2 linked regions of the Elephas maximus indicus genome follow. The protein of the gene in region 2 purifies or fractionates together with the protein of the main gene of each other region. This does not show direct contact. Links are inferred from orthologs where the notes say so. Each region holds a gene or a part of one and is shown on either strand. Other genes may lie near its edges. The genes, in order: DNAJC19 and PAM16.

Evidence for each region.
Region 1: the proteins of PAM16 (region 2) and DNAJC19 purify together in Homo sapiens (affinity purification with mass spectrometry; 3 studies listed by BioGRID and IntAct, with this or other methods). This does not show direct contact. The link is inferred for Elephas maximus indicus from reciprocal best matches to the Homo sapiens genes PAM16 and DNAJC19.

Annotation. Positions count from the first base shown.
Region 1 is NC_064819.1:34,020,657-34,035,997, reverse strand, and holds DNAJC19 (mitochondrial import inner membrane translocase subunit TIM14), read right to left. Parts: upstream 7,222-15,341; 5' UTR 7,084-7,221; coding exon 7,081-7,083; intron 6,145-7,080; coding exon 6,093-6,144; intron 6,016-6,092; coding exon 5,942-6,015; intron 4,956-5,941; coding exon 4,876-4,955; intron 3,940-4,875; coding exon 3,869-3,939; intron 2,599-3,868; coding exon 2,528-2,598; 3' UTR 2,458-2,527; downstream 1-2,457. UniProt on the Homo sapiens protein: Mitochondrial co-chaperone which forms a complex with prohibitins to regulate cardiolipin remodeling.
Region 2 is NC_064830.1:62,382,473-62,398,063, forward strand, and holds the start of PAM16 (mitochondrial import inner membrane translocase subunit TIM16), read right to left. Parts: upstream 5,677-15,591; 5' UTR 5,567-5,676; coding exon 5,564-5,566; intron 1-5,563. Other genes in the region: CORO7 (coronin-7), read right to left, coding at 6,988-6,993, 7,534-7,620, 8,102-8,193, 8,584-8,719, 8,965-9,081, 10,160-10,249, 10,360-10,501, 11,282-11,367 and 11 more. UniProt on the Homo sapiens protein: Regulates ATP-dependent protein translocation into the mitochondrial matrix. Inhibits DNAJC19 stimulation of HSPA9/Mortalin ATPase activity.

The sequences.
Region 1 (15,341 bases), on a different chromosome or scaffold from region 2:
GGATAGCAATGCCCCCAAACATATCTACTAAATAGTAATATGTAGAGAACCAAATTACAGATAAACAAAGTGACCAGGAAAAGATACCCAGGGCTTAATTCTAGTTTCACTAGCTATACAGCCTTAGAAACCACGTGCTATGTCCTTTAGTTTCCTCTTCCATAAAATGTGGAGGAAGTGTCATAATTACTGAGTAAACTTGCATCTCCTATTCCCCCAATATTGGGTTCAACCATACACCTCCCCCCTTTTTATTTTTCAGTGTATTTCTACTGGTGGTGCAGTGGTTATGAGCTTGGCTGCTAACCAAAAGGTCAGCAGTTTGAATCCACCAGCCACTCCTTGGAAACACTATGGGGCAGTTCTACTCTGTCCTATAGGGTCGTTATGAGTCAGAATTGACCTGGTGCCAACGAGTTATAGGCACTGATAATGTTTACAACTGGTTAAAAAAAGGGTCCAAACTAGATGCGTAATGATAAGTATCAAGAGTCACCTCTCAGCACCACCAAGGAATACGTCCCTGGGTTCTGAGAACTGTGAAAGGTACCACAGTATGGAGGTAAACAAATAGGGAGCTCTGGAGCTGGGACAGACCGGGCTGCACTCAGTCTCCTCATTCGGCATGTGGCCTTGGACAAGTTAATCTCCATAAACTTCAGTTTCCTGACCTGTAAAATTACATAATAGCAAGTAGCTTATTTACTGAGACAAGGAAAATGCTGAGCACTATGCCCGCACATTGTAAGTACTCAAATGTTGTCATTACAGATCAAGTATTTTGTGTAAAAAAAAAAAAAAACCAACCATTAAAGGATAAAGGTTCTTTTTTAGATCATACTGACAGCTTTTCCCCAATACAATCTAGAGTTGACACAGATAAATTTTTTCCAAGAAAAATGCTAGGTTAAACCTTCGATCAAATATGGATTGTGTTCTACTTGAAAAAGGTAAGCCTAAAGAAAATAAAACTGATGAATGTAAAAGAAAATGTGCTCTGCTATGCTCTTTAGGATTAAAATGATCTTCCACTGTCTTAATACAGGTATTCTATTTGCATGAAACACGCACAGGTATTTACACCTACTACATGAGGTTTTGTCTAGTTAAAGAGATTCATCATACACAAAAATGATTACCTTCACCTCAAAATTCCTTGTGTTCTCCATTAGTAATTGAGAACTTCTAAGATTTAAGTTTAGATGGTAGGTAGTGTAACTTATTCATCCTCAAACAAATATAAATAATCCCAGTGGTGACCGCAGCTATCTACCCCAGGTTTTATACAGGTCCTCTGGTTAAGATATAGGAGCCCTGGTGCCACAGCAGTTAAGTGTTCAGCTGCTAACTGAAAGGTCAGTGATTGGAACTCACCAGCGACCCTGGGAGAGAGAGATGTGGCAGTCTGCTTCTGTAAAGATTTCAGTCTTGGAAACCCTATGGGGCAGTTCTACTCTGTCCTACAGGGTGGCTAGGAGTCGGAATCAACTTAATGACAACAGGTTTGGTTTTATGCTTAAGATTCTTATGATACTCCATATACTGCAAGCCATTTGCTTCAAATGTCATTTAAATTTATTGGTGTGTAAATTTTTAAGAGTCCAGGCTGAATACTATTTTGATACTAAGGGCATTTCAATTTATAGTTTCGATAACAGTTAAGTTTGGTGATGGCATCTGTAAAACTTTAATTATGTCAAAAAATAAACTATAAATGGTCGATACCTTGAAGGGGCTAGTTGAATACAATGTAAATATTTTCTTGATTAAAAACAGGACTGTACTTTCAAGTCTATTTTTTGCGTACTGTTAGTTTTAGAAACCCTGGTGTCGTAGTGGTTAAGAGCTATGGCTGTTAACCAAAAGGTCGGCAGTTCGCATCCACCAGGTGCTCCTTGGAAACCTTATGGGACAGTTCTGCTCTGTCCTGTCGGGTCACTGTGAGACGGAGTTGACTTGATGGCAACAGGCAATGGGCTGTTATGGTTTTTAATGTATGAAGTCTGAATTCTGTCAGTGACATTATATACACACCTGGGTCAGTTTCTTACGTCAGAGTTATGGCTAAATATAAGATTCTACACAGGTAGGTCTTTGCTTTTTACAATGTGCTGCTTTGGACCTTGAACGGCCTTTCCTCCAAATGAGTTGAGTCCCCATTATAACAGCTTGTGCTAAATCATGACATTTATCACCTTGTGCTTTAATTAACAGTTTATCTGTCATTCTCTCATTAGACGGGGTTCCTCAAGAGCAGGGACTAACTACCATGTTCACTTTACCTTAAAAAGTGCCTATTTATACGCTACGTGAGTGTATTTCTATTCAAGTGGTATACATTTATCTATAACGATTTCCAAATATTCTAGGCCAAATACTCTAAGCTGTTCTCAAATTTAAACAGAAAAATTATATAAGCCTTTGATTTACTTTGTGCTAAATCATTTTTAAAAATCAAAGCTTTGAGGTATTTTATTATAAAAAGTCAGACTCATTCATACACACAAACTAATATGTACTTTAAAATTCATTTTTTAGCTTGACCTTCTAGTAAGTCTTTAGCTTCGTTGATTTTGGCTGCTATATAAGGTGATCCTCCTACAGGAAGAAAGAAAAAAGGAACAGTTGTAAGAAGGATTTTCTCAGCTTTTGCTTGGTGAAAACCTACTCTTGTTTCAAAGATCCCTATGCTTGTCTGAGGTGAAATTAGCAGAAATGGTGATACATTTGACCAATGTGAGATGACATATTTACATGAGTATTTCTTTAAAAATGACATTTGCCTGAAGCTTAACAAAATGGTTGAAATGGGATTAAAAAAGACATCCTCATGTACCTAGAAAATAGCCCAAGTTTACCTATTCACAGTGACTCCAAGTCATGAACAACCACTAGTTGACTGTACCATGTTGTTTTAAACCATGATATTTTCAGAGGCTTCTGTGTGAGCTCTTTGTTGCAAAGTCTCGTTTGCTTTAGATCTTCCTTTTTCTGTTATAAGCTGTCCCTTAATGATGCCATCCTGCTAATCTGCTTTGCCACTAGAGCAGGGATTTTCAGAGTGTGGTCCCCAGAGTCAGACAGGATATGCCACACAGGGAAGCCAGTAGAAATGCAAAATGTATGGGCCCCACCCTAGACTTACTGCATCAGAAGCCCTCCAGGTAATGAAGCCAAAGTCTGTAGAAGAGGCTGAGAAATCAGATCACCAAACAATTGCAATTCTGTTTAAACGGTCAAAACCCTCTTTCTTAAGGAAAGTCCTCTCTTATGGAAGTAAAAGTATTTGAACATTGGAACATGGGTTTTGTGGTCTATTATTTTGGTACTCAAAGGAATTAATGTGCTTTCTTTCCACATAGCCAAAGAAGAGGGAACTGTAAAGCTGCTTGTAGGTGTATCAGAAACTAACGACACCGTATACGTTTCTATTTAGGTCTTTTTTTTTTTTTTTTAGTTCTAAGAGTCTAACAGGTAGGGGAAAACTACATTTTTAATTTCATTAACAAACGTAGCATTTCATTCAATTATGACTATAAACAAAAAACCATGTTAGCAGCAGAGTTTATGGCTCTGTCAACATTATAAATCACATCTTCTCTAAACCGCAGATCTCCAGGCATTAATGCTCACCATTACTTCTGCATTTCAGTAATTATCGGATCTGCTCAGAGTTCTGTACGTGCATTTTCCATTCAGCATTTCTTCTTTTAAGACACCAAAAACAAATGCATCCACTTTTGGAGACAGCGCTCACACACACATCTGGGCATTTCCCTTACGGTGACCACCAGAAATTGATGTAAAATTATTCCACTATTAACAGTCATTCCAACAACACATAAAACAAGGATTTATGACCACTTACCCTTGTCTGGGTGATTTAAGAGCATAATTCGTCGATGAGCATCTCTGATTTTTCCTTTATTGGCAGTAGGGCTAATTAAAAAAAAAAAAAAAGGTATTGTTTACTTCAGTCTATTTCTGAATCACATTAAAAAAAATTGTTCATGAAATCCAATTAACGGTATTACGAAACTGTAGGAAGTCTACACGACAGTGTGAAGAGCTGCTTAGAAACTTCTTTTCTTCCACTCAAGGTGAATTTTCTCAACCAGAACTAACTGCTCCTCAGAAAAGTAAGGCGTTCTTCCATAAAAGGAAAGTATGTTTTAAAAAAATAACACCCACTGCTGTGTAGTCGATTCTGACTCCTAACGACACTATAGGAGAGAGAACTGTCCCATAGGGTTTCCAAGGCTGTAATTTTTACAGAGCAGACTGCCACATCTTTCTCCCCCAGGGCAGCTGGTGAGTTCAGTGCTTTAAGCACAAGTCATTTTATAGAAAAGGAAAGCATGTTTAGTACTTACAAATGAAGGCAGAGTTTCACCATAGAACGTATGTTTATCAGTTAAAAGTATGGAGCACTGTGATTATCTGTTGATATGTTTATCAGTAAATGAAAAAGCACCATATGCTAGTATGCCTTCTCTTCTGACTTTTGTAGGGAGTATCTAGACCTTTAAAACACGTGAAAGGAGGGAGCAGTGTAGGTACAGTTGACTAAAACTGATTACATCAATCTTCTTGGGGCAACACCCCTATTAACTCCCTCTAGTTGGAGAGAGGGAAACCCTGGTGGAGCAGTGGTTAAGTGCTACAGTGTCTAACCAGAAGTCTGGCAGTTCAAATCCACCAGGCACTCCTAGGAAACTCTATGCGGCAGTTCTACTCTGTCCTATAGGGTCACTGTGAGTCAGAATTGACTTGACAGCAATGGGTTTTTGGTTTTGTTAGAGAAAGTCATTCTTACACTTCCTCATATCTCTAGAGTTGTAGAAAAAATATCAAAAATATCAGGAATTATCAGACCTTACACCCAGTATCAATGCTGCTTCCCGTTTTGTCATTTTGGGTTCAAATCCACCTCTGTAATAGCCACCACTGAAGGCCTGCAGGAGGAGACGCATTAGTAAGAAAGCTGCTAAGAAAATGTTCGTAAATGTTCATAGAAACAACAGGAATTCATTTCAGAGAACTTTTAAGTGCAATTCCCACAGTATTTTAGATTTACAAGTAGCAACAAATGATCATTTTAACGTCATTAAATAGACCCATTTTTTTAGACAACCTTAACTGTCTTTGGAAATGTAAGACAACTGAGCAGTGACTCAAAGCTGGGAACAAAGAAAAGATTATTCCAAGGTGGCCAGGGTCTAGGTGAAAATCTGATTTCAGAATATGAGTATGTTTAAAATAACAAGTGGCTCAAGACGAGGATTTAGACACCTCCTGGAGCAAGTGGTTCAAGGGTATCATGAGACTCAAGGCAACCAATAAAACACAATTAGGCAATCAGGTCCTCTGATCTTGTTATGTCAGATCCACTGGTAAAGCCTACCATCATCCTATTTTGTCACATTCGGTCACACGCAAAAATATTTACTCAACAGCATCTACACAACAGGCTGTCAGAGCCAAACTCATTCTAAACTGTGACCACAGAAGGTACCATGGTCTGATCACTACCTGCATCATACCCCACAGCCTAAGTGCAGTTAATTACAAGTGTCCAGGTAGGGGGTGCAGAGGCCACACAGTACCAGCAGATGACTTTAAAGCCCTACAGGCCTCTGGGCTTGTGAGGCAGAGCCAAGTGGGAAGGCAAGAATGTAAACAGAGAATGAGGCTGCAGTAACAATATGCGAACAATAAAGTGATGATTTCACTCCATACTAGATTATTAACAACCTCCTCCCCGCCCCCCAACACTGTCTCATAACACTGCATGTGTGAGGGCAGCACCATTACAAAGCTTGGAACGTTGAAACCTCTCTTCTGAAAAGAGGAGAAGGGGCCCAAAGAAGAGAACTTGGTAAATGTTTGGAAATTTATCCTCTGCAGCAAAAAATTAGCAAAAAAGTTTAGTAAGTCTTACAGATTTTGGTAGACTTTGAAAGACTTGTTTTACTTGAGGCTCCACATGCTTCATGGCTCGCAAAACATAACGGCCTAAAAACAAATTAAGAGTCAATAAGCAAGTCTCCCATCTCCCCCACTTCACATCCACTCCCAAACCCTAAACGAACCTGCAAATCCTGCGGCAGCGATGGTCAGTCCGACTGCAACAACAGTGCCGGCCTGGGGGAGGGAAGAGTTATTAGTATTTACTTCTCTAACGCCCAGCCGCTCCGGTCCGGCCCACTCGCCAGCCCCGAACCACTCCAAGTTTCCCTTCCATGGGGGAAACAAGGTGAAAGTACCCTGCCCCGTGATCCTTTAAACCTCTGCTCGTTGGGATTTTCACTTGGAAGAGGGCACGTCGACTTAATGGACTCCTAACATAGTGAAAACAATTATTGCTTCCCTTTGAAAATGCCCCTTTCATCCCCGAGCAAACGAAGTCACAGGAAAGTTGCCTCCGGAGCCACCGAAATAAGGCTTGCGGTGGAAGAGGAAGAACCGATGACGGGCGTTCTCTTAGGACCTGAGGAAGCACTTCCAACGACAGACGGGGGCTGGCTGACTAGGGAGAGCCCTGGTAGCACAGTGGTTAAGAGCTCGGCTGCTAACCAGAAGATCGGCAGTTCGAATCCCCCAGGCGCTCCTCGGAAACCCAGTGGGGCAGCTCTGCTCTGCCCTATGGGGTCGCTGTCAGTCGCGACTGCTCGGCGGTTTTGGGTTAGATTAAGGAGAACGCTAGTTCTTCTGAGCGCCTTTGACACCATCTGGCCTCACGGGGAGAGCGGGAGGAAGGGCAAAGACGTCCGGGGCCCTGGGAGAAGAGCTCCATTCACAGGGGCCTGAGGGGGGGAAGGAGGGCCAGGGACGGAGGGCCAGGGCCGCGGGGCGCAGCCAGAACCCCGCGTCTCCACCAGTCCTGAGCCCGGCAGCGGCTGACCCAGCCAGCGCTGCGAGGGGCCCGGGGCCGCCTGCGAGGGGGCCGGGGCTGCCTGCGAGGGGACAGGGCTGCGAGCCTCGCTGGAAGGCGGGTAGGAGCACAAGGCTCGGGGCGCTGAGCACAAGGCCAGCCTTCTCCTGGAGGCCGGGCCGAGGGCGCCGGAAGGCCACACTCACCATGGCTCCGGCTCGGCTGCCCTACCTCCACCGGGAGGGCAGCTCATCCCAGCCCAGAGGCCGCGGCCACACAGACAGCTACGGGCCGCCCGGGAACCCGCACCAAGGAAACCGGCAGCGGCGGCCGCAAAGCTAGCCGGAAAACTGTCGTAAAGGGGGAACGAGGAGGGGGAAAGGTCGCTCAGGTAGTGGCGGGCGAAGAATACGACTTCGGATTGGGTGGTGGGTGGAAGGGGGCGGGGAAAGGTCGCTCAAGCAGTGGGCGGGCGGAGAATGAGACCGGATTGGTTGGCGGGTGGTGGGCGGAGAACAAGACTTCGGATTGGTTGGTAGGTAGAAAGAGGGGTGGAGAAAGGTAGCTCAAGTAGTGGGCGGGCGGAGAGAGCGACTTCGGATTGGGTGCTGTGTGGGTGGGCGGGTCACCTTCTACCGGGCTCGAGGGTGTGGCTTCTCGGTATCCGCTGCCCTCTGGTCCCCCTTCCCCACCTGCTTCTGGGCCAAGGGCGTTTGGAAATTCTTGCAGGGGAAGGTAAGGCATAAGCAAATACTGTGCAGCCTTACTCGGACCGTTTTTCTTTCCAGTAGCATTTATAATTTCAAAAAAGGCCAAGAAAACTAAAACTATTGTGAAGGAGTCAGTGCCGACTTTCAGCGACCCTATGTGTTACAGAGTAGAATTGTTCCTTAGAGTTTTGTTGGCTGTAATTCCTATAGAGGCAGATTGCCAGGCCTTTCTTCTGCAGTGCTGCTGGGTGGGTTCAGACCTCCAGCCTTTCTGTTAGTCCAGCGCAGACTGCTTGCTCCTCCCGAGGACCTTATAACTGTCAAGGGTAATGACTACCCCTAAATACGCAATAACAGGCTGCACCATGAAGCCAAACAAATGTGTAGCAACCGAGCATAAAAAAAAAATTTTTTTTTTAAATGAACAAAACCACAGCGTATTTCAGGAGCTCCTTGGTAGCATTCTTTTATTTGAAGTAATTTTATTTAAATACGTGACTCGACAGAACCTTGTGCGAATGTTTTGGTTTTCAGTTTTGTTGGGTGAGATTACCACCTCAAAAACTATTCTGGTCATGGGATTTCAAAATTCTCACAACTGAAAAATGCTACTTAGAATGTGTCCCCTGCCCCCAAAAGAAGTAGGGTTTGTTTTTGCCACCACAGGGCATCAGTTTTGTATATCCCTTCATACATGCTTGAAAAGATAAAAGTGGCGACAATAATGGAAGTTTTAGAATGCCGTATTTGGATCATCAACGCAGACTGCCAACAGTGCTTCAGCTCTCCAAATCCAAAACGTAGGGACTTACTTCCCTCTTAGAACTTACAAAGTGTTAGGATCTGTGAACTCTGCAGACAGATTCTGCTTTCATGGGTTCCTGTGGTGTATCAGTAAAATACCACAGCTGGGCATCTTTAAACAACAGAAATTTATTGCCTCACAGTTCTGGAGGCTGAGAGTCTGAGATCAGGGTGTCAGCTGTGTTGATTCTTTCTGAAACTGTGAGGGAGAACCTGTCCCACGCCTCTCTCCCGGCTTCTGGTAGCTCCAGGCGATCCTTGGCTTGCCGCTGCAGCATCACCTGGTGTTCTTCCTCTGCCTCCCTGCTTGTGTATCTTCTCTTTTATAAGGACACCCGTCATACAGGATTAGGACCCACACCCTTCTCCAGTGTGACCTCATCTTAACCTGATACCATCTTCAAGCATCTTATTTCCAAAGAGTTACATTCATAGGTACGACGTATTTTTTGAAGTGAAGACTTCACTATATCTTTTGAAGGGACACGATTCCATCCATAATAGCTGGTTATTAGACAAATAGCACATTTCTTGACTTTGTTTTCCTCAGCTACAAAAAGATCCTGCATTTGAATCTCCCAGGGCTCCTCAGGTTCTAAGATGTTTGTGATGTGATTCATTGTCAACAAGTGATTCAGGGTGACAGCTTGTGCTAAGACACTGGCATTAAGTGTTTAACTTCATCTTTTGCTTCTCGTTCACCTAACTTTTATCCAACAACTACAAAAGCAAGCCATCATAACAGCATGAAGAATGTAATCAATGTCACTGAATTATAACATGTAGAAATTGTCGAACTGGTAAATGTTTTGTTTCATATATTTTCACCACAATAATTAAAAAAAAAAAAAAAAGAAACCCATTAAATAACCAAAAGGTCAGCAGTTCAAATCCACCAGCCACTCCTTGGAAACCCTATGGGGCAGTTCTACTCTGTCTTATAGGGTCACTATGACTTGGAATCAACTCGATGGCATGTACCTATTGAGCACTTACATGTGGCTAGTGTGACTCAGGAAACCCTGGTGGCATAGTGGTTGAGTACTTCAGCTGCTAACCAAGAGGTTGGGAGTTTGAATCCACCAGGCACTCCTTGGAAACTCTGTGGGGTGGCTCTACTCTGTCCTGTAGGGTCGCTATGAGTCGGGATCGACTTGACGGCAGTGGGTTTGTTTTGGGTTGGGTTTGGTTTAGAGTGACTCAAAGCCCAAATTTTTAATTTTATTTCAAAGGAGCCCTCATGGTGCAGTGATCAAATGCTCGGCTGCTAACCAAAAGGTCGGTGGTTCAGGCACTCCTCAGGAGAAAGATGTGGCAGTCAGCTCCCCTAGAGATTACAGCCTTGGAAACCCTATAGGGCAGTTCTACTCTGTCCTATAGGGTCTCTGTGAGTTGGAACTGACTCGATGGCAGTGAGTTTGTTTTTAAACAGCCAAATGTGGCTAGTAGCTGTGTTATTGGACAGGGCAGAGCGAGTCTCTTTCACACTAGCTTATACAGTGAGGATGACAAACAGAAAGATTAGTTTATATTGTGGTACCGAGCAGCTGACCTAATTAATGGTGGGCTAGAAACCCTAAAAAAAAAAAAAAAAAGAAACCCTGGTTACGTAGTGGTTAAGTGCTATGGCTGCGAACCAAAGGGTCGGCAGTTCAAATCCACCAGGCACTCTTTGGAAACTCTATGGGGCAGTTTTACTCTGTCCTATAGTGTCGCTATGAGTCAGAATTGACTCGATGGCACTGGGTTTGGTTTTTTTTTTTTTTGGTTACCCCACCTGGAGATTTCTGGTTTGTGAGAGAAAAATAAACTTAAGCTGTTTTTCGATGGTGTTATGGATTGAATTGTGTCCTCCCAAATTTGTATTGGAATACTAACCCCTGTACCTGTGGAAATAATCCCATATGGGAATAGAGTTTTTCTTTGTTATCTTAATGAGCCCATATCAATGTAGGGTGTATCTTAAGCAAATCACTTTTGAGATATGAAACAGCAGATTAGGCACAGAGGCAAGGAAGTACAGATGAGGAAGATAGATACCACATGAAGAATGCCAAGGAAGCAAGGAACAGAGCTGAAAAGAGACAAGGACCTTCCCCCAGAGCTGGCAGAGAGAGAAAGCCTTCCCCTAGAGCCAGTGTCCTGAGTTTGGGCTTCTAGCCTCCAAGACTGTGAGAGAATAAATTTGCTCATTAAAGCCATCCACTCGTGCAGTTCTGTTGCAGCATCACTGGTTTACTAAGGAGTAAAATGCTGCTCTAGCAAATACCTGAAACATGAAAGTGGTTTTGGAGTTGGGTAATGGCTAGAGGCTAGAGGAATTTGGTATGCTTCATAGTAAGGCTCTTGTTTGTTTTGAAGAGACTGTTGGTAGAATTGTGGACATAACGGGCAATTTTGATGAGGGTTCAGAAGGAACTGAGAGCTGTGATAGAAGCTTCTATGGTTTTGAACAGAATGTTGCTAGATATATGGGTGTTCCCTGTGCTCTGGTGAGACTTTAGAAGGAAATGATGAGCATGAGACTGGACAGTGGAGGGAAGGTGATGCTTTTTATGTGGTAGCAAGGAACTTACCTGGATTATGTTTGAATGTTTGATGGAAGGTAGAATTTGTAAGTGGTGAACTTGGATATCTGGTTGAGAAGATTTCTAAGCAAGATCTTAAACGGGCTATGTGGTTTCTCCTTGCCTCTTAGAGTAAAAAGTGAGAGGAAAAAGATAGACTTAAAAATGAACTGTGCAAAATGAAACCAGGACTTAAAAGATTTGGAAAATTCTGTTGTACAAACTAAGGACACGTGTCCTAGAATGTTCATCAAGGACATGGCTACCCAATCTTTTGTTAAAAAGATAAGCCTGTGAGTGATGGATTGAATCCACTACCACAGCAGAAAACCCATCAGCTTAGACTAAAGGGACAGAGACAGGATATCCATTTCTTGGAATTCTACAGGCAGGAAATAGGCCAATACAGCTACTTGGTTGCAAACATCTGAGGTCCTTCAAAAAAAGAAAGTACCATTCCTGGAGCAGTTCAGAAATTAGCAGAACTGTTGGAAGGAACATGGGAAGCAGGGCTGCCTCGGTTTAGAAGGGTAGAATGCTGCCTCCATTTCAAAGATGGAAAAACAGCCTCCTAGGTTTTAAAGAGTTAGACCTCTTGCACCTTAGTGCTGAAGTGTAGGACTGCCATTTGGGTGGGCCAGGAGGATCGGACTGCCACCCAAAGCAGAGGGGGTGGGACTGCCATTCCCAAGGGCCAGGAGAATGGAACCACCCAGGGCTGAGGGGTTGTGGTCACCACTCAGATAAACTAGGATAATGGTACTGCCCAAAGCCAAGGGAGCAGAGTTGCCATCCTAGTGGACCTGGATGGGGCTGATACCCAGGACCTAGAGGCCTCCACCCAAAATCCAAAAAGCATGGCTAACACCCAGAGTATGGAGGGCAAGGCCATTGCTCAGATGGTCCTGGAGAACAGCTGATGTAATTTGTTCTGCTGGGTTTTGGACTTGCTTGGTGCCCACGAACCCCTCTTTCCCTCTGATTTCTCCCATTTGTAAAAACCCTGTGTTTGTTTCACCACTGTACTTTGGAAGCAGATAACTTGTATTCTAGGTTTCACAGGTCCACAGATGGAGAGGAATTTTGTCCCAGGATGGAACATTCCCAAAGTCTCACCCATACTTGATTTAGATGATTCAGAAGATGAGATTTTAGACTTTGAGTTCACTTAAGACTTTTGGGATGATGTGATGGGGTGAATGTGTTTTGCATGTGGGGAGGATATGAGTTTGGGGGGCCAAAAGGTGAAATGTTTAGCCACCTACTTGTGGTATTTCTGTTATCACAGTGCTAGGTAACAGATGGGTTTTCTGATTACTCACAGCTGAAACATCCTAACTGACTCAGAGATAAATAAGTGGTGGGTACATAGAAAACTAAACAATGAAAAATAAATAAGGCAAACCACAAAAAGACAAACAACCCAATCAAGAAGTGGGAAAAGCATATGAACACACATTTCACTAAAGAAGATATTCAGGCAGCCAACAGATACACGAGAAAATGCTCTCGATCATTAGCCATTAGAGAAATGCAAATTAAAACTACCATGAGATTCCATCTCACACCAGCAAGGCTGGCATTAATCCAAAAAACACAAAATAATAAATGTTGGAGAGGCTGCGGAGAGATTGGAACTCTCATACACTGCTGGTGGGAATGTAAAATGGTACAGCCACTTTGGAAATCTATCTGGCGTTATCTTAAACAGTTAGAAATAGAACTACCATACAACCCAGAAATCCCACTCCTCGGAATATACCCTAGAGATACAAGAGCCTTCATACAAACAGATATATGCACACCCATGTTTATTGCAGCTCTGTTTACAATAGCAAAAAATTGGAAGCAACCAAGGTGTCCATCAACGGATGAATGGGTAAATAAATTGTGGTATATTCACACAATGGAATACTATGCATCGATAAAGAACAGTGACGAATCTCTGAAACATTTCATAACATGGAGGAACCTGGAAGGCATTATGCTGAGCGAAATGAGTCAGAGGCAAAAGGACAAATATTGTATAAGACCACTATTATAAGATCTTGAGAAATAGTATAAACTGAGAAGAACACATACTTTTGTGGTTACGAGGGGGGGAGGGAGGGAGGGTGGGAGAGGGTTTTTTTTATTGATTAATCAGTAGATAAGAACTGCTTTAGGTGAAGGGAAAGACAACACTCAATACATGGAAGGTCAGCTCAATTGGACTGGACCAAAAGCAGAGAAGTTTCCGGGATAAAATGAATGCTTCAAAGGTCAGCGGAGCAAGCGCGGGGGTCTGGGGAACATGGTTTGCGGGGACTTCTAAGTCAATTGGCAAAATAATTCTATTATGAAATCATTCTGCATCCCACTTTGAAATGTGGCGTCTGGGGTCTTAAATGCTAACAAGCGGCCATCTAAGATGCATCAATTGGTCTCAACCCACCTGGAGCAAAGGAAAATGAAGAACACCAAGGCCACACGACAACTAAGAGCCCAAGAGACAGAAAGGGCCACATGAACCAGAGACCTACATTATCCTGAGACCAGAAGAACGAGTTGGTGCCCGGCCACAATTGATGACTGCCCTGACAGGGAGCACAGCAGAGGACCCCTGAGGGAGCAGGAGATCAGTGGGATACAGACCCCAAATTCTCATAAAAAGACCAAACTTAATGGTCTGACTGAGACTAGAGGAATCCCGGCGGCCATGCTCCCCAGACCTTCTGTTGGCACAGGACAGGAACCATCCCCGAAGACAACTCATCAGACATGAAAGGGACTGGTCAGCGGGTGGGAGAGAGACGCTGATGAAGAGTGAGCTAATTATATCAGGTGGACACTTGAGATTGTGTTGGCAACTCTTGTCTGGAGGGGGGATGGGAGGATAGAGAGAGAGGGAAGCCGGCAAAATTGTCACGAAAGGAGAGACTGAAAGGGCTGACTCAAGAGGGGAAGAGCAAGTGGGAGTAGGGAGTGAGATGTATGTAAACTTATATGACAGACTGATTGGATTTGTAAACGTTCACTTGAAGCTTAATAAAAGTTATTTAAAAAATAAATAAGGCAATTGCTAACTCCAGGAAAAACAAAAAGCATTACAAGGAAAAATATGTAATCCTAGTACACCCTTTGTCTCAAATATAAACAATATTTACACAATCATGTAATTTTATTGAAGGGATAAAAAAAAAAATCCCATTGCCGTTGAGTTGGTTCCAACTCATAGTGACCCTATAGGACAGAGTAGAACTGCCCCCATAGTGGAGAGCCTGGTGGATTTGAACTGCAAGCCTCTTGGTTAGTGGCCAGAGCACTTAACCACTATACCACCAGGGTTTCCAGAGGGATGAAAGGAGGAAAAATATGTGCACATGTGCATTGGGTGATGTATACCAAACCCAAAACTCATTGCTGTCAAGTTGATTCCGACTCAGTAACTCTATAGCACAGAGTAGAACTGCCCCAGAGGGTTTCCAAGAAGCAGCTGGTGGATTTGAACTGCCAACCTTTTTCCAGTGTGCCTCCAGAGCTACAGGTGATGTGTAGAATCAAAAAACCAAACTTGTTGCCATCGAGTCGATTTCAACTCAATAGCGAACCTATAGGACAGAGTAGAACTGCCCCACAGGGTTTCCAAGGAGTGGCTGGTGAATTTGAACTGCTGACCTTTTGGTTAGTAGCTGTAGCTCTTAACCACTGAGCCACCACCATAAAAAAAAATTTTTTTTTTTTTTTTTACCACCATAGGACAGATTAAATTTTATCTTCTATGATAGGAAATCACTGAATAATGATAAAATAGAAATAAATCAAGAAACAGCCGTATAAGGATGTTAGTTCGGATTATGTAAATAAAAGCCAGAAAAATATGTTAAAAAGTACTCCAGGGATTACCTCTGGCCTGGGAAAGGCAACGGAAGGAAGAGAGATGGAGCAAAGGACTGCCTGTTCTTTTGGCAGTCCACAGAATGAAAGGGAAGATCAATTGGGAAAACTTTATTTGGGAAAATGTACCTAAAACCCACAGCCGTTGAGTTGATTCTGAATTATAGCAACCCTGTAGGCAGAGTAGAGCTTCCCCATTGGGTTTCCAAGGCTGTAATCTTCACGAAAGCAGACTAGCACTGTGGCTGGTGGGTTCGAACAGCTGACATTTCAGTTGGCAGTAGAGCACTTTAACCACTGTGCCACCAGGGCTTCTAAAAGCTACCCCAATTCCAGGTTTCAAGTAAAATCCTGAGTGCCTCAATTTTCCTTCCTCACAGCCTGAGAAGAGAGCAGAGCCTTTATCCAGAAACACGTGCTTGCTGGGTGCTATCCCTCTGGTCAAGCACATCCCAGCTCTTACTGGCTCTCTACTCACATGCTCCAGACTAAACAAGGGCAAAATTTGTT
Region 2 (15,591 bases):
ATGGACTGCACTTGCTGACAGGTAGCCTCACCTGGCTTCTTGCTCAACACCACTGGCGGGGGTAGGGGTGGGGGCAGGAAGCCCTGAGATGGACTACTTGTCCCGGCTTGGCGACAGGGAAGCTTGATTGGGGAGCAGATGACTCCAAAGGGTCCCCTGAGCCTGGAGCACCTTCCACGGCTAACTCAGCTCTCCCCTGGCTTTCAGACCACACCTCCCTTAACAGCCTTCCCTCCCTGTGCAACCTCATCACACTGCTCTGCAGTCATCTGCTCCCTTTCTCCCCAGGGCAGTGATGTGCCTAAGTAATGAGTGTAGGAGCTTGGCTGCTACCAGAGACCACCACCCCTTGCAGGCTTCAAACCAAAGTGGCATGGGTGGCCCTGCTGTTCCAGCTGCCCAGAGCTGCACAGCCACAGGGAAGGCTGGGCTGGCCTCCCATTTCAGCATGGGAGCTGCCTGGACAAGAGGCGCCTGCCAGGGGAGATTCTGGGACCAGTGCCAATGTGTAAATCCCGGCTGTGGGACTCTGGACAAGTTCTCTAACTCCCTGAGTCTTGGTTTTCTCACCTGAAAAATGTGGCCAGCCATTAGGCTGTTGTTATAGGACTAAAAGAGATAATGCTTATAAGGTACCTGGCACATAGCCTAATGATACAGGAAGTGCTTCATAAATGTTGTCATGTCTTCTTTTTCACAAAACTTCACAGTGGCGAGGTGCTAAGGAGTTCCAGAGTATCTTCCGACATACCAGCTCATTGGATAGAGACCCCAACTCCTCAGCGGTGAAGACTGCAGAAAGCCGTAGATATTCCCCAAGAACCATGGAAGAGGAGCAAGAACACTGTTCTGCTTGTGAGCAGCCATCTAAGACACAACTCCCTGTCTCTATTTGCCAGAAGCAAGATGGTGAGAACGTAACCAAAAGTGCAGAAAAGAAACAACTCTACATGAGCCACAACCTCATCTACTCTGAGACCAAAAGAACCAGATGGTGCCCGGTTACCACCACTGACTGTTCTGGCTGGGGTCACAACAGTTGGCCCCAGATAGAATGGGACAAAAATACGGAGCAGAACTCAAATTCTTACTAAAAAATAAAAATAAAGCCAGACAAACTGGAACAGTAGAGAACACAGATCTCCCTGAAACTATCACCCTGAGACTCTCTTTAAACCTAGAACCGAGCCTAACCTGGGATCTCCTTTTAGTGAAATTGCAGAGTGGCACATAAAATAAAGGATATTATCTGTAAGGTCAGTGCCCTGCTTAAAAACCATCAGTATGAGACCAAAGGTCAACAATTACTCAAAAGCAAAGACGAGAAGAGGGCAGGGAAACTAGAGCACTGGAAACAGAACCAGAACACACAAAAAAAATGCTGACACATTGTGATAAATGTAACTAACGTCACTGAACAATTGGTGTGGCAACTGTCAAATGGGAACCTAACTTGCTGTGTAAACTTTCACTAAAAACTTATTAAAATATTGTTTAAAAAAAAAAAAAAAGAAATAATGCTTTGGTATCTAATCCCAGCTGTGCTTCTTGCTAACCATGTGGCCCGGGGCAAATTACTCAACCTCTCTGAACCTCAGTTTTCTCATCAGCAGAATGGGACAATGAAACTGTATCACTAAGTACAAAGAGGAAGAAATTGAAGATTTTTATCAACTTCTGCAGTCTGAAATTGGCTAAACATGCAAACAAGATGCATTAATAATTACTGGTGATTGGAATGCAAAAGTTGGAAAAAAAGAAAGAACAGTAGTTGGAAAATATGGCCTTGGTGATAGATATGATACCAGAGATTGCATAACAGAATTTTTCAAGACCAACGACAACTTCTTCATTGCAAACACCTTTTTGCAACAACATAAATGGTGACAATACACATGGACTTCACTGGAGGAAATACACAGGAATCAAATGACTACATCTGCGGAAAGAGACAACGGAGAAGCTCCATATCATAAGTCAGAACAAGACCAGAGGCCGGCTGCGGAACAATCAACTGCTCATATGCAAGTTCAAGCTGAAGCTGAAGAAAATTAGAACAAGTCCACGAGAGCCGAAATATGACCTTGAGTATAGCCCACGTGAATTTAGAGACCATCTCAAGAATTTAGAGATGCACTAAACACTAATGACCAAAGACCAGAGGAGCTGTGGAATGATATCAAGGACATGATACACAAAGAAAGCAAGAGGTCAATAAAAAGACAGGAAAGAAAGAAAAGACCAAAATGGATGTCAGGAGAGACTCTGAAAGCTGCCCTTGAATGCTGAGTAGCTAAAGCAAATGGAAAAAATGATGAAGTGAAAACTGAATAGAAGATTTCAAAGGGTGGCACCAGAAAACAAAGTATTATAATGACATGTGCAAAGGCCTGGAGTTAGAAAACCAAAAGGGAAGAACACGCTAGTACTGAAGAAAAAATTCAAGCCTTGGGTTGCAATACTGAAGGATCCTATGGGCAAAATGGAAACCCTGGCGGCATAGTGGTTAAGAGCTATGGCTGCTAACCAAAAGGTCAGCAGTTTGAATCCGCCAGGTGCTCCTTGGGAACCCTATGGGGCAGATCTACTCTGTCCTTTAGGGTCACTGAGTCGGAATCGACTCAATGGCAATGGGTTATGAGCAAAATATTGAACGAAGCAGGAAGTATCAAATGCAGATGGAAGGAATATTACACAATCACTGTACTAAAAAGAATGTGTCGACATCAACCATTTCAGGAAGTAGCCTATGATCACGACCTGATGGTACTGAAGGAAGAAGTCCAAGCTGCACTGAAGGCATTAGCAGAAAACACGGTTCCAGGAATTTTTGGAATACCAATTGAGATGTTTCAACAAACTGGAAGTGTTCACTCACTTATGGCAAGAATTTTGGAAGACAGCTACCTGGTCAACCAACTGGAAGAGCTTCATATTTATACCTATTCCAAAGAAACGTGATCCAACAGAATATGGAAACTGTTGAACAGTATCATTAATATCACACACAAGTAAAATTTTGCTGAAAGTCATTCAAAAGTGCTTATAGCAGTACATTGAGAGAGAGCTGCCAGAAATTCAAGCCAGATTCAGAAGAGGACATGGAACTAGGGATACCACTGCTGATGTCAGATGGATCCTGGCTGAAAGCGGAGAATACCCGAAAGATGTTTACCTGGTGTTTTATTAACTATGCAAAGGCATTCGACTGTGTGGATCATAACAAATTATGGACAACACTGCGAAGAATGGGAATTCCAGAACACTTAATTGGGCTCATGAGAAGCCTGTACATAGACCAAGAGACAGTCATTTTAAGAGAACAAGGGAATACTGCATGGTTGAAAGTCAGGGAAGGTGTGCGTCAGGGTTGTATCATTTCACCATACTTATTCAATCTGTATGCTGAGCAAATAATCTGAGAAGCTGGACTATATGAAGAACATCACACCAGGATTGGAGAAAGACTTATTAACAACCTGCATTATGCAGATGACACAACCTTGAAGCACTTACTGATGATGATCAAAGATCAAAGCCTTCAGTATGGACTGCACCCCCACATGAAGAAAACAAAAATCCTCACAACTGGACCAATAAGCATCATGATAAATGGAGAAAAGACTAAAGTTGTCAAGGATTTCATTTTACTTGGATCCACAATCAATGCCCATGGAAGCAGCAGTCGAGAAATTAAACAACACATTGCACTGGGCAAATCTAAAAGGCTGCAAAAGACCTCTTTAAAGTGTTAAAAAGCAAAGGTAACCCTTTAAGGACTAAGGTGTGCCTTACCAAAGCCACAGTGTTTTCAATTGCTTCATATGCATATGAAAGCTGGACAACGAATAAGGAAGACTGAAAAATTGACACCTTTGAATTATGGTGCTGGTGAAGAATACTGAATATACCACAAACGGCCAGAAGAACAAGTCAGTCTTGGAATAAGTATAGCCAGAATGCTCCTCAGAAGCAAGGATGGCGAGGTTTTGTCTCACATACTTTGGGTATGTTATCAGGAGGGACCAGTCCCTGGAGAAGGAAATCATTCTTGGTAAAGCAGAGGGTTACTGAAAAAGAGGAAGACTCTCAAGGAGATTGACATACTGGTTGTAGCAATAGGCTCAAGCATAACAAGGATCGTGAGGATGGTGGAAGACCAGGCAGTGTTTCATTCTGTTGTACATAGAGTTGTTCTGAGTCAGAACTGACTCAACAGCAGCTAACAACAAAGATGATGACACAGGAGGGCTACAAGACCCTCATGGAGCAATGCCCGTAAAACAGGTGACAGACAGGCAGTGCCAGACCAAGAGCAGGAGCACAACAATATCGTTGCTTCCAGACAAGACTCTGCTTGGTATTAATGGTCTGGAGACCAGACAGTGAAGCTAGCCTCTCATCCACTTATTCAGGACCCAGAGGCACACAGAATGCCAGGTCAGGCCTGTGCTTAGAGCTGTGGATTCCACACTGAGCAGAGCTCTGGCCGCCACAGCTAAGTCCCTGGGTGGTGCAAATGTAATAGAAGCTGTATACTTCTATTTACATATACGTAAATGTAAACACATGAAATGTACTGAAAAGGCAAGGCTGTGGCTCCTAACCAAAAAGTTGGAGATTCAGGTCCACCCAGAGGTGCCCTGGAAGAAAGGCCTGGCAAGCTACATCCAAAAAAGCAGCCACTGAAAACACACTGACACGCATGGGTAACTGTGAACTGGAATCGACTCAACACCAACTGGTTTGCTCTGTAAAAACTACATAAGAAAATATATTATGAAATCCTCAATCCAGAGCCTGGCACCTGTAGGCTGTCGGTGTCAGCTATTAGTATTACCCTATTATTGTTCATTAAGGAGTGGCCTATAATTAAAGCAGTGGTTCCCCAAAACGGCTGGGTCTGAATCACTCGGGGATGTACTACTATCTAGAAATATACATATTCGTATTAACATTTATCGGACCTCCAGGGATAAGGCTCAAAAACCTGTATTTTAAAGGTTCCCCCCGGGAACCGGGCGCAGCCAGTGTGGCCCAGGTCGGTGGACGGCTGTAGGCGCCAATGGTGTGGTAGAAACGCTCCACTGTCGGTGCCGCTGGGCCTGGTTCGAGTCTCCGTCCTGCCACGTTTTGGGGAAATTCTCGGAGCCCTTTTCGTCAGCTTGGGAACGAAGGTCATAATACAGACGGCGCTCACTCTGCAGAGCTAAGGCGCTCAAGGAGCGAGCAGGTGCTATGGACCACATCTATCCCCTACCTTTGGGTGCCTGCGGCTGTTCGACAGGGGCTGGCACACGCGGTGCACGCAGGCGACCACCTCTACTGGGTATTTTCCGGCGAGCCAAGCCCGCCCTGCCTTCAAGCCAGGCACTTACCCCTCGCCTGGCCCCTCCAGCTCGCGGCCGGCCCGGGAACGTTCGCAAAAGCCGCCCGAAGTCTCGCTTCCCGGGGCGGCCCACGGGGCGGACGTCCCCCACAGCCCGGCCCGGGGCCCACTGCCAGCCGCCCCAGCCCTGAAGCGGCTTCCCTCCCACGGGCAGTACCCGGTTTCACGCCTCACCATCGCGGCCGCTCTGCCTCTGGGGCAGAATCCGCCTTCTGTGTCCCCAGCCGCCCGGGTTCTAGGGCGGCCAGGAGGTCAGAGGTCACGGGAGGTTGGGAGAACGCGTGCGCAAAGCCACGCCGGGCATGCGCGCCGCGTCCGCCCTCCAACAGGCAGTACACAGGCAGTGACGTAACACGATGGGGGCGGAGCCTGCCTCAGACCCGACTCAGGGGACTACCGAGAGCGGGCGATGGGGCTTCCCCAGGACCCCGTTTGCTAGAAGCAGCGAAATGCATGGGTCAAATGTGGGGCAACTTCCTCCTTTGATTTTGCCAAAATATTTTTTTTTTTATTTGAGGTTAAAACATTATATAAAATAAACATACAACTCCCCACCAACATAATAGCGCACCCGTTGCCTGTGGAATGGACTCCGACCCATACCAGAGCAGACCTGCCCCCATAGGGTTCCCAAGGCTGTCGTCTCTACGGAAGCAGACTGCCACATCTTTCTCCCGAGTATCCACTATGGGTTCAAACTGGTGACGTTCTGGTTAGCAGCTGAGCGCTTAACCACTGCACCACTAGGGCTTCTTTAAATGTCTTTTTACAAATCTGTCTCCTGCTGATTGTTTCTCTGGAGAACCCTGGGTGGAATGAATGAATGAACTCCCCAGCAGCATGCAGCTGAAAGGCCTTAGGGGCAAGGTGCAAGGTGAAGTGTGGGACTGGGCAGCCCAGGGCCAAACTTCTCTGACAATACTCCCCTCATCCCCTTCTCAGCCAGCACAGAGTAAGCAGCACAGACGTGGTCAGCTTAGAAAACTTTAATTGCTGAGAACATATGCCTTGTGCAGGCCCATCCTTGTGGGGCTCATACCCCTTTAACTGGGCCATCAGCTCTGGGGTGCCCACTTCTCCTGGCTTCAAGCCTGGAGAGCAGGAGCAGTTGGTCCCAGGCCCCTGAGGCTGGTGCTGCACCAAATGGCCTGGTGAAGGGCCGGCCCCTGAGGCTCTTGACCAGAACTGGGGCAGCAGGCAAGACAGGTCGGCCTGTAGGAGCTGAAGGTGCTGAACAAAGCCAACCCAGGCTGCGACTAGCCCACATCGGCATGGGAGGCGGGGCCCAGGGCCTGCTCAGGGACATGCTTATTGACCCCCATGTCCCCCTTGGCTCCACATGCTAGCAGGCAGCTGAGGAGAAGCAGCTGGTCCCAGAGAAAGCAGAGGTGTGGACAATCCCCACAAGTGGCTGGGGAGCTAAGAGGCCATGGAAGGGCCAAAGGCCCGAAGGAAGCCAGGCTTCTGGGGATGAGGTGCGCTGGGGCCATAGAGGCACCTTCCAGTCTGAGGATGAGACATGAGGTCTGCACAGGCCTCAGGTGGTCTAGGATGAGCAGCGGCAGGTGAGGCCAGACCAGAGGTGAATGGTGCGTAGGCTAGTCCTAGGGGGATAAACAAAGACGTGGGAGGGAAGTGGAACACACTGCAGGGGCGGGGGAGCATGGTGATGCTGGAGGAGCTGAAGCACTCCGCAGGCATGGGGAGGGAGAGTGGTGATGCTGGAGGAGATGGAGCACCCTACAGGGGTGGGGAGGAGGATGATGATGCTGGAGGTGGAGAACCTTGCAGGGGTGGGGAGGAAGGGTGGTGATGCTGGAGGAGGTGGAGCATCCTATAGGGATGGGGAAGAGGGTGGTGATGTTGGAGGAGGTGGAGCACCCTGCAGGGGTGGGGAGGGAGGCAGGGGTGGGGAGGGAGGGTGGTGATATTGGAGGAGGTGAAGCACCCCACAAGGGTGGGGAGGACGATGATGATGTTGGAGGAAGTGGAGCACCCTGCAGGAGTGGGGAGGGAGGATGGTGATGCTGGAGGAGACGAAGGACCCTGCAGGGGTGGTGAGGAAGGTGGTGATGCTGGAGGAGGTGGGGCACCCTGCAGGGGTGGGGAGGCACAGTGGTGCTGGGGCCCATCCGTCTACTCACCCACTCGTCCTCACCCACACCCTCAAAGGAGTCCTGGGGGAGCGGGTCCTCCCAGTTCCCTAGCTTCGCCACCATGGCGTTCAGCAGCTGAGAGTGTAGACAAGAGAAATGTTAGAAAGGGAACAGACCTCTGACCCCAAGAATGTCAGACCCCACAGTTTACGTGCAACAACGTCGTGAAGTTAGAACGCTAACAAAGCTGGTGGGTTTTCATGGAAAAGGGCACAGAGACAAAGATGGGGGGTCACAGACACAGAGACACAGGCACGAAGCGCCAGAAACACAGGTGCAGGGAGGCTGTCTCCATTCATTGCCTGCAAACTCTCAGATGTGCACCAGGGTCCCCAATGCACTTGGGTTCAAACTTCTGGCTTGCTCGGTTAAGGCTGGACAAGGCAGGACACTCACAGCCCTTACCTGGCCTCAGGGCCCCGTGCTGTGTGGGCAGCAGCAGGTCAGCACTCAGGGCTCTGGGAGGTGTCTAGACCAAACTTTGCGGGGTGAGGGGGGCGCGGGTAGAGAACTGGATACTGCCCACTCCCTACTGGTGGCCCTCTCCCACACCTACCTCTTCCTTCTTTTGCTGATCTGACTTCTCTTCTAGGTAGAGTGCTGAGGAGGGGGCCCGCCGGGCAGGGGCCTCACGGGGAGCCTGGCTCACTGGGGCAGGGTAAGGGCAGGCATCAGAGAGCACCCTGGATAGGGGGTACTTGCCTAAACCTTAGGAGCCAGCTGTAGGGGATTTCATGGCAGAGACCCAAGAGGTAGCACTGGCAGTGACTGGACCCATCGTTCACAAGGCCTGCACTGGGCATCAGGATGTATGTGTGTAGCAGGTGGGGACTTGTGACAGAAACAAAGACCATGGGCCCTGCCCTCCAGGGACTCAAACACTAAGTCTGGAACACCCACCAACTCCCACCATCCTTGGGAGTCCAGAAGTTTCTGTGTGCCAGCAGAGACAGAGATTGGACTTGGGCCTTCTGCCCTTTCCTCCATCCCCACCAACTCCCCTGCTTCTTTCCACCCAGACCCGGTCCCTCATCCCACCTGGGGTCATGCCGGGAGGCTGCAGGCAGAGGAGCCGGGGCTGTCCATTAGCACCTCCCAGCCAGGCCTCAGCACTGAGCACCGGCTCCCAGCTCATGGCTGTGTCTGGGAACACGTCATCCTGGAAAAACTCTTTCTGCAGGAAGGAAGGAAGGGGTCGTCCTGAGGTACTGCCCAGGGGTACTGCCCAGGGACTGGGGTGCGTGGTGATGCCTGGGACCCTCCCTACAGTCTAGGGGTTCCAGAATCTCAGCTGAATGAGGAGGCAGGTGTCCCCAAAGAGCAATGAGTGGAGAAGTCTGGGGATGGGGCCAGGCCCAAAGCCCCAACAGGTGCTGAGGAGGGAGGCTGAGTATCGGAGCCCTTGGTCCCCAACCTTACCCTGACTCGGGGCAGCCGAAAGGCTACAGGCTCCAGGGAGGTCTGGCGGAGCCTCAGGCATCGGGCAAACTCCACTTCCCGCACGTTACACTCTGTCTTGGGCAGGAGGATGAAGCCCTAAGGAAACCAGGGAAGTCAGAGCCAGAGCTGGATCTGGGGCTTCTGGCTGGGCACACAGGGACCCCAGAGGACCAGTCTTCTTCTCCTAGGACCACCAGGACCACACCTGTCCCTAGTTAGCGGTGTGCTGGTAACTGTGAAACCACGGGTCTCTGGAGGAAAAAAGCCTTGATTTGTAGCCTTTGTCTATTTCCATGGTGTAAATATTCCCACCATGGCTAATTTCAAGCTAACATGTAGCAATGGAAAGAGATCTGCAGTACACAATCGTGTGCTGTATCCACCACATAGATATAACCCAGTGCCATTGAGTCGATTCCGACTCATATCGACCCTATAGGACAGAGTAGAACTGCCCCATAGAGTTTCCAAGGATTCGAACTGCTGACCCTTTGGTGAGCAGCCGTAGCACTTAACCACTACACCATCAGGGTTTCCAATAGATATGATAGATGCAAATAACTTCAAGAGCACAGATAATACTAAAACCTGGTACAATTATCAGGAAGTGTCCAGTTTTGAGTATTCACTACCTTTGCTTTTAACATAATGTATTCAATTTTAAGCTTATATAGGGAGACCCTGAGCAATGCAAATGTCAATATGCTCAACTGCTAAGTGACTAGTAGGAGGTTAAGTCTGCCTAGAGGTGCCTCCGAAGACAGGCCTGGCAACCTACTCCCAAAAAATCAGCTGTTGAAAACTCTAGAGAACACAGTTCTACTCTGATACACATGGAGTTGCCATGAGTCAGATTCGACTCAATGGCAAATGGTTCAGTTTATATAATTTTTAATAATAATAGAGTTTAACAACCAGCCTGCAAAGTTCCTGGAAATGTCACCAGCTGTTGGGGACTGGCTCCAGCCCACCCCCAGCCCTAACCTTAGCAGGGTCCTTCTAGTTCCAGGCAGGCCGAGGTTAATGACCCACTGACCTCACAGATGCCTGTACTTCCCACATGGCCACCAGAGGGCGTGAGAGCCCTGAGTCCCATCCAGGAATCCTATCGTGAGGATCCATCTTTGGTGGCTAGACTAGGCCCCCAGGGTTGGGGGCTGGGTGAGGGGCTCACCTTGTGGAGGTCTGGCGATGTGAAGCTGTTACACTCCAGGAAGAAAGGGGCCTCAGGGAGCAGCTCATACAGGAACACCCGGGTGTCGCCCTGGAGGGGGAGGTAAGAGTGGGGTGGCCAGTTAAACCTCACCGACCCCCCCACCTTCCTCCCACCTCCTCTCACCTGCCCACCACCCCACCTGGCTCACCCCAGCCCACCTTGCCCGTGAGGAGCACTAGGCCCGTGTCTGGGTCATAGCTGGGCAACAGTGTTGAGGGGGCCACATCCAGGCCTAGCACGGCCAAGGGGCCCCCAGCCAGGGCCTCAGAGGCATACAGCAACAGCTGGCGCTCACTGCGCCTGCAAGGGGGGCAGGAGCAAGTCCTTAGAGCGGGAGGGGCCTGGGACAGGGCAAAGACTCCAAGGGCCCTATTGTTGTCTGGAGGAAGCCTGAGGGCCAGTGGATGCTGGGAGAGGCCCCCGCCCACCCTCTGCCTAGTCTGGCCCTCAGAAATCCCTTCCTGGCCAGCTGCCCTGCCTCTGGCCCCTCCTCCTGGCTGCTGCCCCCTGCCCCTCCTCAGCACTGGTCTCGGTCCCATGGCTGCTGTGGCATCCGCAGTCTAGTCTTCAAGGCCTCGCCTGGCCTTCCAGGACTTCCCTCCCCACTTTCTGCCTTTTGCTCTCTGCTCCAGCCAGGTTGGCTCAGCATCCTGGTCCTTGAATGGCCTCTTCTGAGGTCTCTGGTGACCACCCCTTCGTGACCCAGGTCAGATGACATCTCTTTCAGAAGGCCCTCTTTGATCCCTCCTCAGATGAGCCAAATGCCTCTCAGGTCACTCCAGTCTTCCTGGTTCTGTATTCCCTGCACATCACCTGGCTCCCTGCCAGGCTGGGCTCTCAACCCTCTGGGTCCCCAGATGACTCCCCCTCCTCACCTCCCTCCCACCCATCCATCATCTATCCACCCAACCACCCATCCTCCATCTATCCATCTTCCATCCATTCATTCATCCACCCACCCACTCATCATCCATCCATCCATCCACCCATCCAAATAAAGGAGGTGCGTGTGTTTGGAGAAGGGGGACACAGGTGGTTGCCAAAACCAGGAAACAGGAATGGTGGTCCCTTAGCCCTCACCTGTCAAAGCCAGATACCAGCAGACAGTGGCCATCACATACCCAGACAATGCGGGCTCCACGGGCCCCCTCAGGCCCTGGACCTTCCTGTTGGGGTACAGCATGTGAGGCCCAAGTTGGGTCTCGGGGCTGCCCCCAGTCCTCACTTGCTCACCTGCAGGGGCTCAGGGTGACTCCGGGGCTCATAGACCCGGACATGCCCATCCTTGCAGACAGTGGCCAGCTGCTGCCCATCTGGACTCCAGGCAAGGCCAAAGATCTGGGGGTGGGTGGGGCCATGAGAGGTGGCTTCTTGCCTTGTGGCTAGGCCCCCCACCTCGAGGCTGCCCCACCTGGTCCCGGTGGCCCCGTAGCCTCAGCCGCTCAGCTCCAGCCTTTAGGTCCCAGATGCAAACAGTGAGGTCGTAGGAAGAAGAGGCCAGGACATCAACCGCCAGTGGGTGGAAGCGCAGGGAGTATATTTTCTCCGTGTGGCCTGGGAGTAGGCAAGGGGTGACACTGAGCCCCTTGGGAGCCTCTGCCTGCACCCCGCCCTCCCTGGTCCCACCTGACCTGTGAGTATGGCCTCGGGCGTGGTGAGCACTTCTTCCAGGCCCTCTGCAGGCACCCGCCACAGTCGAATCCTGGCATCCTCCCCAGCTGCAGAGGCCAGTGGCTCAGCATTGCTGTGGTCGAAACCCCTAGCTGTCCCCTGTCCCTATTCAGGGCCCAGGACCCTCCCACATGGCCTGATGCCCACCTTCTTACCTACAGCGAGGCGATGCAGGTCAAAGGGGTCCCAGGCAAGGTCGGTCACGGCTGCCCCATTCTGCAGCGTGGGCAGCGCAGTGTCAGGCAGGCGGCCAGGCTTCCGCAGCTGTGGGAGGTGCCCCCCCATGGCCTGTCAGTACCAGGCAGGAGCACCCATTCCCCTGGGCCTGCAGCGGAAGCAGCATGTCTGGGCTCCCCTGCAGCCGACGTCCCCACCACTGAGTTGCCCAAGCTCTCTGCCTCAGCTACCTCATGCTCTGAGCCCCAGGTGCCAACTGTGAGGCCCTGGAAATGGGGACAGGGCAGCATGGAATGGTGAGAAGAGCTCAGGCATGGAACGCTGAGGGCCTGGGTCTGACTCCCAGCTCTACCACTTACACAGCTATGTGACCTTGGGCAAGTCACTAAGCTTTTCTGTGCCTCAACACCTTCATCTGTAAAACAGGGATCAGTGTGGCACCCACTGCATGGGGAGGCTGAGCGGGTACCTGGCACATGATGGGCACTTGGCAAAAATGAGCCAGTGTGAGTCTCAATGCCCTGGGTGACTTGGCTGCCACCTGCAGGCCCTCACCTCGAGCACAGCCACCTGCCCACTACTGCTGAGCAGGGGCACCGCCACACGCAGCCGGTTGGCACAAAAGCCGTCACTCTCGCCAGGTGTGGTGAGGTTGAGCCCCTTGAGGTTGGTGATGTGGCTGTCTCGGTGCAAGACGGTGCCATAGGCGTGGCGGAACTTGGAGCTAGGACCTGGTGGGCGGCAGGGACATGGCCATGCATGAGGATGCCCGTGCCCACCTGCCTGCCTGCTCCTGTAGGAAGAGCCCAGGCTGAGTCCTGCTGCTCTCACTGTGTGGAGATGCCCCGGTGTATACCTGGCCTGCCCTCTGCTGACCATCTGAACACAGTGCACACAGGAGTAGGACCCACTGGGGTAGACCCTTGCCCCTCTGTGGCCCCATGGTATCTTGGTGGAACCTCAGAGTTCCACGGGACACAGCTTAGAAACCACTGGGTTAGACCATCTTGCTTTGTAGGTAAGACCTACCATCCTCACTTTATCCTCTTCAGGAACGATTCCTCACTCTACTTGTCAGGCAGGGTTGGGGAAGGCAGGGGTGGGAGAGGGGGGTGTGGGAGGCAAGGGTGCAAGAGGTGGGGGTGGATGCAGGGGCAGGGGAGGTGGGGGTGGGAGTGGGGAAGGCGAAGGTGGAGGAGCCAAGGGTAGGGGAGCTAGGGGTAGGGTAGGCAGAGGTGGGGGAGACGGCTAGGGGAGGTGAGGGTAGGGGAGGCGGAGGTGGGGGAGGCAGGGGTGGAAAAGGCAGGGGAGGGGGACATGGGGTTGGGGAGGAGGGGGTGGTAGAGAAGAGGGTGGGGGAGGCAGGTTGGGGGAGCTGGAGGTGGAGGAGGCAGGGGTGGAGGAGGTAGGGGTGTGAGAGGCGGAGATGGGGGAGGCGGGGGAGCAAGGGAGGCAGGGGTGGGGGAAGTGGGGAGGACAGGATGGGGAAGTGGGGGTAGGGGAGGCAGAGGTGGGGGAGTTAAAGGTGGGGGAGGTGGGGGTGGGTCTGGGTACAGAGAAAGGGGAGGACTGTTTGGGTGTGGGTAGAGGAGGGTCTCATGGAAGCATCTGTCCAGTGCACTTACCCAGCAGGCTCTGCAGTGACCTCTGGCTGAAGCTGGTGCCGATGCCGCTGGTGCTGGAGCTTGAGGGCCCCAGGCTGGAGGGTGTGGAGGGTGAGGTCAGTGAGCTGGGTGGTGAGGTGAAGCCATCCTGGGAAGCAGCACAGGGTCAGCGAGGCATCTAGGCATCTGGGGTAGCCACTCTGGGCCTTGCCCAGACTGTGGGCCCCTCGGCCAGGCATGACCCGCTGTAGGGCATGGAACAGGGGAAGGAAGGGAGCTGGGGGCACAACCTAGATGCTGATAGGAGGCAGCAGTGCGAAAACACAGGCAGTGGGCTGAGCTAAGACTGGGGGGCTGCAAGGGGCAGCTGCTGGCTCCAGCTCTGTGGGAGGCCAGCCAAGATCTTCCAAATTTCAAGAGAAGCCAGAAATCCAGATTTTTATTCAAAAACTCCTGCTTTGTAAATGTTTGCTCAATTAAATAACACTAGTTTAAGTCCTTTCCTTAATGACGTGTATTCTCTGTGTATCGGATGTGACAACCACAAAGTTAAAGGCCATTGGGTGGGCGTTGGCCTGGGCACCCTCAGGGGTGTCAGTGGTGGGGAGGACCCCTCTAACATCCAGACCAGGGTCCCCATGCTCCTGGGGGAGTGACATGGCAGGGTTGGCCCGGCACTTACACTGGGGTCTGTGTCTTCTATCAGGGTCTCCGTGGGCTGGGCGGGTACAGGGGGCTGCTCCGTGGGGGGCAACAGGGTAGACATAAAGCTGGTGTGGGGTCGGTGGGCTGGGTTGAGGCTGACCCTCTGCACCTGTGGGAAGAGGATGGCCATCAGGTGTCATGGTCAGCTTAGGGGCCAGGGCACTGGGGGGCATGGGACACCCTGTCTGTTAGGAAGCCTTTGGAGGCAGCTGCCTGTGGGAGTGGTGAGCAGGCTGGGTCCTACCTGCTGGTTGCTCCCAGCCCACCAGGCCTGGGGCTCAGAGGCAGGCACACAGCCTGTGGTGTCTGGGAACAGGTCCTCATGGAACTCCACAGTCTGGTCGACAGAAGACAGGCAAGTGGTCAATGAGGCCCCAGGCCCCCCAGGCCTCCCAACCCCCGCTCAGGCCCCCCTCACCTTGCGGGGTACATGGTAGCTGATGGGTACGATGGCCGTGTCGCTCAGCTGCAGGACACGGAGCACCTCGCAGCTGAGGACGGCCAGTGCCCGCCGGGGCACAAGCGCTGCTCCTCGCAGGGTGTTCTCCAGGATGCACTGGTTTACTGGGGCGGGGGGAGGGGCACCACAGGAGGGCAGTTGGCGGCAGGAGAGAAGAGAGAGGGAGGGGGCAGGAAGAGGGCAGGGGCTTACCTGGGCTCAGTGCCGGCTGCAGTGTGGTCACTTCGTAGCAGAACAGCTGACTCTCACCCTGGAACAAGCTTGTCCTGAGTTCTACCCATGGACCACACCCAGTGGCCTGGAATGCGCCCAGGTCTAGCACGAGCTCTGCACGCTGCCCTCAAGGACCCAAGCCCAGAAACGGCAGACTTTACTGAGCCCTCACTATGCGCCGTCATAGGTGAGTCCTTTATAGATTTGACCTCGCTGTCCCAGAACTATACGTTTAGCATTTATTAAGTACTCACTGTGTACTATGCCCAGCTCTATTCTCTGCCTTGTCTTCATGAAGCTAAGGGATTTCTGGTCAACCCAACCACGGGGATGAAAATGATGCAGACACTCAACCCCCTGCCTGCAGGAGGTAGGCACCTCTCCACCCCTCTTCTCTGAGGTGGTCAGCCTCTCTACTCCCCAATTCCCGGCTGTCTGGCTGGCTGGAAGGCTGGGGCTGGACTCCGGGCCCTGGGGTAGGGTGGGGGCTCCAGCTTTTCACTCACCTTTCCTGCCAGGATGAGGAGCCCAGAGTCTGGGTCCAGCAGGGGCATCAGGGA